Linked DNA regions of Nothobranchius furzeri. The protein of the gene in region 2 binds, or shares a complex with, the protein of the main gene of each other region. Links are inferred from orthologs where the notes say so. Each region holds a gene or a part of one and is shown on either strand. Other genes may lie near its edges.

Region 1 (3,914 bases), on a different chromosome or scaffold from region 2:
GCCACCTGTAAGGCTTTCGTACTCCAGCAGGTAAGACAAAGTTTTCAGACTGGCCTACCTGATGAACGGTTTCAGGAGGCGGGACGTGTACGGACTCTTGATGCTTTTGTCCAAACTGCCTTCAGCTCCCATCAGACGGTGCCAAAAGGACACGGAGCTGTGCTGGACACGCCTTCGGCTGGAGACGCTGGTCTGTAAACACACAGATGGGTTCAGAGACCAAAGCTGAATCTGAGCCGATGGTGTTAGCTTTCAAGGGAGAAACGGCACAAAAAGGTCAAAGGTCGAGTGAGAAACAGCTGGAACGTGCTGCTGATGTGAAATATGGATGTCTTCTAAAGGTTTGGAGTTGAGGAGACAAGCAGAGACCTGAAAACGATCCAGAATCCGCTGCTCCTGGCGGCTGCTGCAGTATTTCTTCTTAGCCCCGCCTTCCACATGTGCCCCCGCCTCCTGCGCATCATAGATGCCTCCCACCAGGCTGAGGGTGGCGCTGATTGCTCGGTCAACGTCTAGCAGGGGGAGCCCTCTCTGGCGTTTGGTCTGGCGGACCAGCAGCTTCCTGTGGAGGCGTTTGGCATGTGGAGTGACGGCCAGCGCCAGCGGGCAGGCGTCCAGCCGCAGCAGCAGCAGCCGCTCCTCGTACAGGCTGAGCGGGACCAGGCCCGGATCCCGAAGGACAGCCACTTCGTTAGATTTCTCAGGATGAGTCGCCCTCCGCCGCTCGGCTGCTCTGACGCCAACCGGACCCCGGCAGGAAAGAGTCGGGGCCTCTGCCGGCTCTTCCAGGGAGTCCTCGTTCTGGTGGCCATCATCGTCTTCACTCTCAGCTTCCCGTTTGATGTGGGATGGCGCCGCTGGGCGGAGCTTCTTACGGCCAACATGGCTGGTGCTAGCAGGAGGGATGTACTCCACCCCTGGGTCAATCATCCCTTCAATCTCATCGTCATCTGAAAGAGGGAGGCAGACAGGAGATGACATCACAGCTGACACCACAGCCCAGCACGAGGATGAAATGACTCACCGTGGAATAATGCCTGTGGCGGCATGGCGTCCGGAATTAGGTCCGCCTCCGAAAGAAGGCTGGGTGTGGCTGAATGAGAGGCAGGCGTTCCCGGAGCGGAGAAGTCGGGCGATGGAGACAGAGATGGGCTGGTGAGCGGTGTTCGGTCCGAGGAGCTGAGGGATGAGAACTCGATGACCTCGCCTTTTTCCAGGACCACCTCAGACCGGCGACTGGCACCCCCACCGCGGCCTCCGCTTAGCTTAACGGGAGTGGAGGAGGAGCTGCGGTCAACGTAGCCTCCCACTGCCTCCTTCTGGGCTCGGCGGATGTCTTTGGCCTCTTGTGTGCGGCAACGCTTCTCCTTCAGCTGCATGGCGTTCTCCACCGGGTTCCTGGCTCCACGTTTCCTCAGACCTTCCACCGTAATAATCGGGTCCATCACCGGTTTAGAGACTGTGAGTGAACGACACAATGGATCAGTGGGCGGAGCTTTCTCACCTGAACATAACTGTGACAATGCATCTCACCTTTGACCTTAGCGATGGATTTGTCCCCATCCGGTCTCAAGGTGGGAGGTCTGTTCTGGACCAGCTTCCACCAGCCTGGTTCTCCAAACTCCTGCGCACCAGAGCGGAAGAAGGTGGGACTTCCGACAGAAAGGCAGCCAGCGACTGTGCTCCACCACGTTGACGTCTTCTTCCTGCAAACATCATTAGCATCTTCACTGATCCGAGTTAAAGATTCAGCAGAACTTGTGATGATTCTTTCAACGGGATCGATCGGGGCTGGGATGTTTCCTGGCCCTGGAAACCCATCTTCCCTCCATCATCTGTGCAACTGTGGATGTTTAAAGTGGGTCAAACAGCTCAGGTTTGAAAGGGAAGCCTTAAACTCTGATTGGCCAGGGTCTCCGGCATGACTTCTAACTCACCTGTTCCCCAGCAGGAAGTTCCAGTGGCGGCCAATGAAAGCGCAGATGTCCTCCTTCCACCTGAAGTAACCCTGCCGGCCTGTCCCCTCCAGAGACAGGTTGTACATGGCCAGCATCACCACCTGAACACAGGATGTTCCTGTTTAACAAGCAGGAAGTGTGTGTGTGTGTGTGTGTGTGTGTGTGTGGTACCTGCCCTGCTGAGTCTGGGTCATACCTGCTGCCAGGTGAGCCTCATCCTCTCAAAGCTCTCCTTCCTGTCCTCAGAGCACTCGGAGCAGAAGAACTTAAAGAAGTTGTCTCCTTTCAGGTAACTGGGCTGGTCACCGTGGAGCTCAGCTGGACCAGAACCGGGTCAGAAAGACAAAACCCTTTAGGATCGCAGCAACCACACACACACACACACACACGGTCCTCCATGCTGTGCTGTGACTGGCTGACCTGCAGGGATCCACTTGTGGCAACGTTCGCAGTAGAAGGACATGTCCTCACAGGCCCAGCCTCCATCCGTCTCCTCGCCCACGTCGCTGGTCAGAGAGTCCCCGCTCTGGTCGTGGGACAGGTCTACGGAGCCCTGGTCCTCAGACTCTACGATCAGCAGAGTCTCCCCCTCTACCTCGCCCTCCTCCAGACCCTCAGAGGCGGATGTTCCAGCCGCCTCGTCCTCTGCCGCTGCCAGCTGCTCACTGCTGCTGTCCATCTCTGGGCACCTGTGGAGGTTACATGGGTCAGAGAGGCACTCTCTTATTTGTCCATCCAGAAGACCCATGTGGACATTTCAGATACAACAATAGGTTCAAACTGGATCAAACCAGACAGAGAAGTTCTGGTCCTTCATGTCATCTTTGTTCTATACAAGCAAACACAGCTGAATGACCATGTTTCCTGACCTGCCTCAGGTGTCCTGTGACTGAAGCCTCTCCTCTCCTCTCCTCCGCTCCTCCTCCAGGTGTCTGGTCAGAATCCTCTGCTCTTCCAGTAGCCTCAGGTTCTCTTTCTTCCTCTCCACCCGCTCCAGATCCTGAACCACACCCTCACGCAGCCTCTGCAGGGTCATTAAAAACAACACGTGACAACAGGCCCTGCTGCGGAGTCACGTCGGCTTTAATCTGAACCCAAGTGCAAGATAAAAGGGCCTACAAGAGACTCAGAACCATAAGCACAAAGAGGCTCCTCCTGCAGAGCAGAAGTAACACAAATATGGGTCCGTTTCTCACATAGTTCGGGTCTAGATTCTGGCTGGACCGCTGCACCTTGGTTCTGTTGTTGATCTGCTGCTGTGTTGTCACAGACTCGTGTGTGTGTGTGTGTGTGTGTTAGATATCAGGATGCTGGACTCCTGTGGAACCGGCCCAGGCCATTAGCCCTCCACCACCATGTTGACAGCTGGGGTATGAGCTGTTTGTGCAACAGTGAATTATGGGTAATCATCTCACATCCGGGACATTGTGAGCTGCCAGCCAGTTTATTTCTATCACTTCCTTACAGGAAAATTATTTACGCTGGTTTTGGGTCAGAGGTCAGGTTAAATGTCCTGTAGTTCGGTTGCTGCTGGACCGGCTCGATTCGCACACTTACCTCTCGATCCCAGGCCTGGTTTAAATGGACCGCTGCCACGGTACCCAGCGTCAGAAGCACAGAAACACCCAGAACCACTTTGGAGGCTGCCGACATCACGTTGGGTCTGACTTCAGTTAGCCAGATGCTAACAGGCTCCTCGTCTGCACTACCGGAAGTTATTCTTCTTCTTCTGTTTATTTTCACTCCCATGAGCCACAGCGGCCCCTGCTGGTGGGGAAATGAGCTGCAGGCAGCCATCGTTGAAGGTTTCTTGGTAACAGAACAAAAAAAGATGGTTGTGGTGCTTTTTCAGCATTTTTTATGACGTTTTACCTTTTTTCGGCTAAACATTTATGCGACGCAGGCTGAGAATGTACATTAGTATGTGCACATAGTTTTGGAAACCAACGTTTTCTT
Region 2 (3,814 bases):
ACTTGTCCTGGTGGTGGTCGGAGGGACCGGCGGCCCAGTGCTCGGCAGGCCCCGCCTCTGTCAGTGTGCCCCAGAGCAGCTGTGGCTCATGTAGCTCATGCCCACCAGCGTGTGAATGTGTGAATGACTGATTGTGTTGCGAAGCACCTTGGAGGTTGTAGAAGTGTGTGTGTGTGTGTTGTCAAATTACTGGTCCTAGTTATTTTTCATTCTTATCTCAAGTGTGGCTTAATCTAATCAATTCACACTTTTGGACCAGAATATTGCTTATAAGTTACAACAAAGCCAGGTCACCATAAACCTTTCATTTCAATGCCTCCTTTATTGTCCTCAAACGAGTGTAGGTCGTGTTGATGTTCACTCTAGTTGTTGCTCTTTGCTCTGCCTCCAAAGCCATCATTCTCTTACTTTAATTTCCAGGCTCCGCCATGATGCCAACAAAAAAGTAAACTATTTCATCTTGCACTATTTATTGACGGCCGGTGAAACTGAAATGGCTAACAGCTAGCCTTTATATGAGCTACCAGCACAGTAGACGTTTATTGTCGTAAAGCAGGTAGTACCCCTACCGGAACCACAAAATATTTAAGAGCAGTTTCTGGTCAGCAGAGGGCTGCAGAGTGCTGTCAAAATTTTATTTATTTAAAACATAAACTATGTCAGGATTTTTTTTTTTCTGCTTTATACATGCATGAGAGGTGCAGTATTTCTGCACATTTTTTTGGTTGACAGATGTGTTTCTGTATCTTTATCCAGGCTGCTGATGGCGGGAAGTCTGCCTCCCAGCAACAGCAACTGCTGGTGTCAGCCAGCCAGGCGGCAGTAATCAGCGCAGCTAAGAACGCCGGCACAGCCAGCGGCGGCAGTCTGTCCAAGGCAGCTGTGGCCTCTTTGGTCAAAGGAGCTGGAAGCTCCGCCTCCCCAAGTAAGAGTGCAGGAAGTTCAGCCGTTGCCGCAGTGATGGTGGCAAAAGGTGTCACAAATTTGCCCGTCATGAGCACGTCCAAAGGAGCTGGAGCTGGGACTGTGGTGGGGGTGTCCAAAAGCAGCAACACTCCATTAGTTTCTGCGGCGTCGTTAGTCAGCGGAGTGGCAGCTGGAGCAGGAAAAACAAGTGCTGCACTGTCAGGTGTGGAGGAACACACCACAACCTACAATCATATGTTTATGCACAACACATGGGTGTGCAAATGATCTCACCTTGTGGTTTTTGGCCAGGTATGCTGAAGATCCAGTCTGCTGGTTCCAGCTCCCAGCAGACCGTTTTAACCATCCCTGCCACCCAGCTGAAGCAGCTAGGGGTTGGAACTGGGTCTGCTGGACTGCAATCCATATTCATGCCTGTCAGTAAAGGTAAGCCCACTCCATGAACACAGAATAATCTCGCTAGTGTTGAAGTTAAACAGAATCCCAAAACTGATCCTGGATTACTTCTTTAGTTGTTCTGAACTTGATGTAATTTTAAAATAAATCTGAGATGCGCTCCATCATCTGGAAATATCTTATTGTTACCAATATCCTCTCATCTCATTTTTTGTCTTACTGTTTACCTAGCAGGACATTGACCCTTCTGTGTGTGTGTGTGTGTGTGTGTGTGTGTGTGCGTGCGTGCGTGCGTGTGTGCGTGCGTGCGTCCGTCCGTCCGTCTGTCTGTCTGTCTGTCTGTCTAAAGGCCCAGTCTCCAATACTCCTCCCTCCTTCTCCTCTTCATCCACTCCTCCTGGAGCAGCTGGAGCCTCCTCAGGTCTTTCCAGCCAGGTCTCCTCCTCCCTTATCCCGCCTTTAGCACAAGGTGAGAGGGGTCCATTGTCACTCCACCCTCTCCTCTCTTTCTTCCTAACTCCATTTTTATGTTTGAGCTGTCAGAATCAAACATTGGCCACTGAAGACGAAGCAAATAGTTTGATAGTTGTGTTTAAAGCTGATGAACATAATCCAAACCATTAGAGTCTTATTAATGGGACATTTAGCTACTTTTTCAATCATTTTCTTGAGCCACTATGTGCTAAAATGACCCTTTACATGGTTAATGAAATGACACCCAGCCCCCATCGCCACCTGTGACCAGAGTATTCCACTTGCAACTTCAGACTGGCGGGCAGCTCTGTTGGGACTTAGACAAAAGGAGTTGACATACCTGGTGCTGCAGTCTGGTTCCAGCACATTTCCTGGATGTTTTAGATTATGAACACATCTGATTTGTGTAATTTAGTGATGAATAATAATAATAATAATAATAATGCATTGAACTTATATAGCGCTTTTCTAGACCCCCAAAGACGCTTTCACACACTCACATTCACACACTGCTAGTGATGATAAGCTACTTGTAGCCACAGCCGCCCTGGGGAGGTTTGACAGAGGCGAGGCTGCCATTTGGCGCCGTCGGCCCCTCTGACCACCACTAACACAGGCAAGTTGGGTGAAGTGTCTTGCCCAAGGACACAACAGCAGGATACCCCTGGTGGGAGCTGGAATCGAACCCATGACCCTCCGATCATGAGGCAACGCGCTCTACCACCTGAGCTACTGCTGCCCCAAATGAATGAATGACTCCTGTAGATACTAAGGAAGGCTGGGGGGAAAGCGAGGAGATAAGTTTTGCTTTCAGTTCTATAAATGGACTCTAGGGGGTGCCAAAAGCAAGCCAAGACTGCCTAGTTCCCTTTAAAATATAAATTACATGTGTTGATTTGTGATGAAATAGTTCAGAGTAATAATCTTTTATACAAGTCTAAATATGTTTGTGATTCCTAATAACATTTATCTCCCCCACATATACACATCTGCTGTCGCTCTCCGCTGCCACAGTGAAAACAGAACCAGGTGCCGTCGCAGCTGGTCCGTCGCCCCTGGCGACGGCTGCTGCTCCAGCCCCTGTCCATGTTGCTTCTGCAGCCACCACCGTCAAACAGGAACAAGGCACAGATAACTCAGCACACTGCCTCATTAAGTAAGAGCAACGCCGCTGTCTCTTTAAACACAAATGCAGATGATGTTCTGATGTTAATCCAAAGCTCTTTCCTCTCAGCACTGAGCACATCGAAACCATGATGCAGCTGCTGACGGCTGTGGTGAAGAAGTTTCCTCTAATTGTGCCAGAAAAAAGTAAATACAATTAGATTTCATATTTATAAACCGACTGAAGACACTCTTTAAATGTAACGCTGCTTTATTTTTACATAGCTGAAGACTCCCATCCCTTTTGTGCCTCCTCAGTAGAACAGTATTATTCTTGGAACATTGGCAAACGCAGAGCGTCAGAGGTAACCTTTTGATTTTGTTTTGATGAAATCTTATGTCCACCTCTCACCGTTATCTTCAGTTTTACTCGTCTTCATGCTGTACTAGCCTCGTGTTTCATCAACATAGTAAATGATTCATTGCTGTTCTTGTGGAGAAGAGAAGTATGACCGTGTTTTTACTCACTTTGATGGAGTACACGACGTGATGATTCGCCGCGGCTGCAGTTTTGCATTTTAATCCGTCTTCCAGCTGCATCTCTTCTCTCTCTAGTTGGATGTGTGTTTCTGCCACATCATCTCTTTGACTAATACTGTATTCTGAGCCGTATGTGGGATACCGTGAATATTAATGCTTATTCATGCATGTTGCTAAATAGTTTAAGCAGCGAGGGTCTACAATGCTTAAACTTTGTGATCGGACTCTTCCGAGTTAAAATGAGCTGATCTTTGGCCGTCTCTGTAGCTTCAGAGAGCGGTGGCGGTGAAGCGTCTGGTTCAGGACGTGCTGGACCGCTCGCCCCGCCTGCAGGCCCTGACGCCCCCGAAGACCAAGGAGGTGGTGCAGTGGT

Evidence for each region.
Region 1: yeats2 (region 2) and kat14 share a complex: the UniProt entries of both Homo sapiens proteins name them as parts of the ADA2A-containing complex. The link is inferred for Nothobranchius furzeri from reciprocal best matches to the Homo sapiens genes YEATS2 and KAT14.

Annotation. Positions count from the first base shown.
Region 1 is NC_091746.1:29,633,276-29,637,189, reverse strand, and holds the start of kat14 (cysteine-rich protein 2-binding protein), read right to left. Parts: upstream 2,638-3,914; coding exon 2,379-2,637; intron 2,277-2,378; coding exon 2,155-2,276; intron 2,060-2,154; coding exon 1,938-2,059; intron 1,707-1,937; coding exon 1,534-1,706; intron 1,460-1,533; coding exon 1,025-1,459; intron 951-1,024; coding exon 370-950; intron 193-369; coding exon 59-192; intron 1-58. Other genes in the region: protein PET117 homolog, mitochondrial, read right to left, coding at 2,833-2,982, 3,516-3,755. UniProt on the Homo sapiens protein: Component of the ATAC complex, a complex with histone acetyltransferase activity on histones H3 and H4. May function as a scaffold for the ATAC complex to promote ATAC complex stability. Has also weak histone acetyltransferase activity toward histone H4.
Region 2 is NC_091751.1:55,945,707-55,949,520, forward strand, and holds part of yeats2 (YEATS domain-containing protein 2), read left to right. Parts: intron 1-756; coding exon 757-1,129; intron 1,130-1,218; coding exon 1,219-1,353; intron 1,354-1,672; coding exon 1,673-1,792; intron 1,793-2,811; coding exon 2,812-2,953; intron 2,954-3,031; coding exon 3,032-3,108; intron 3,109-3,186; coding exon 3,187-3,266; intron 3,267-3,708; coding exon 3,709-3,814. UniProt on the Homo sapiens protein: Chromatin reader component of the ATAC complex, a complex with histone acetyltransferase activity on histones H3 and H4. YEATS2 specifically recognizes and binds histone H3 crotonylated at 'Lys-27' (H3K27cr).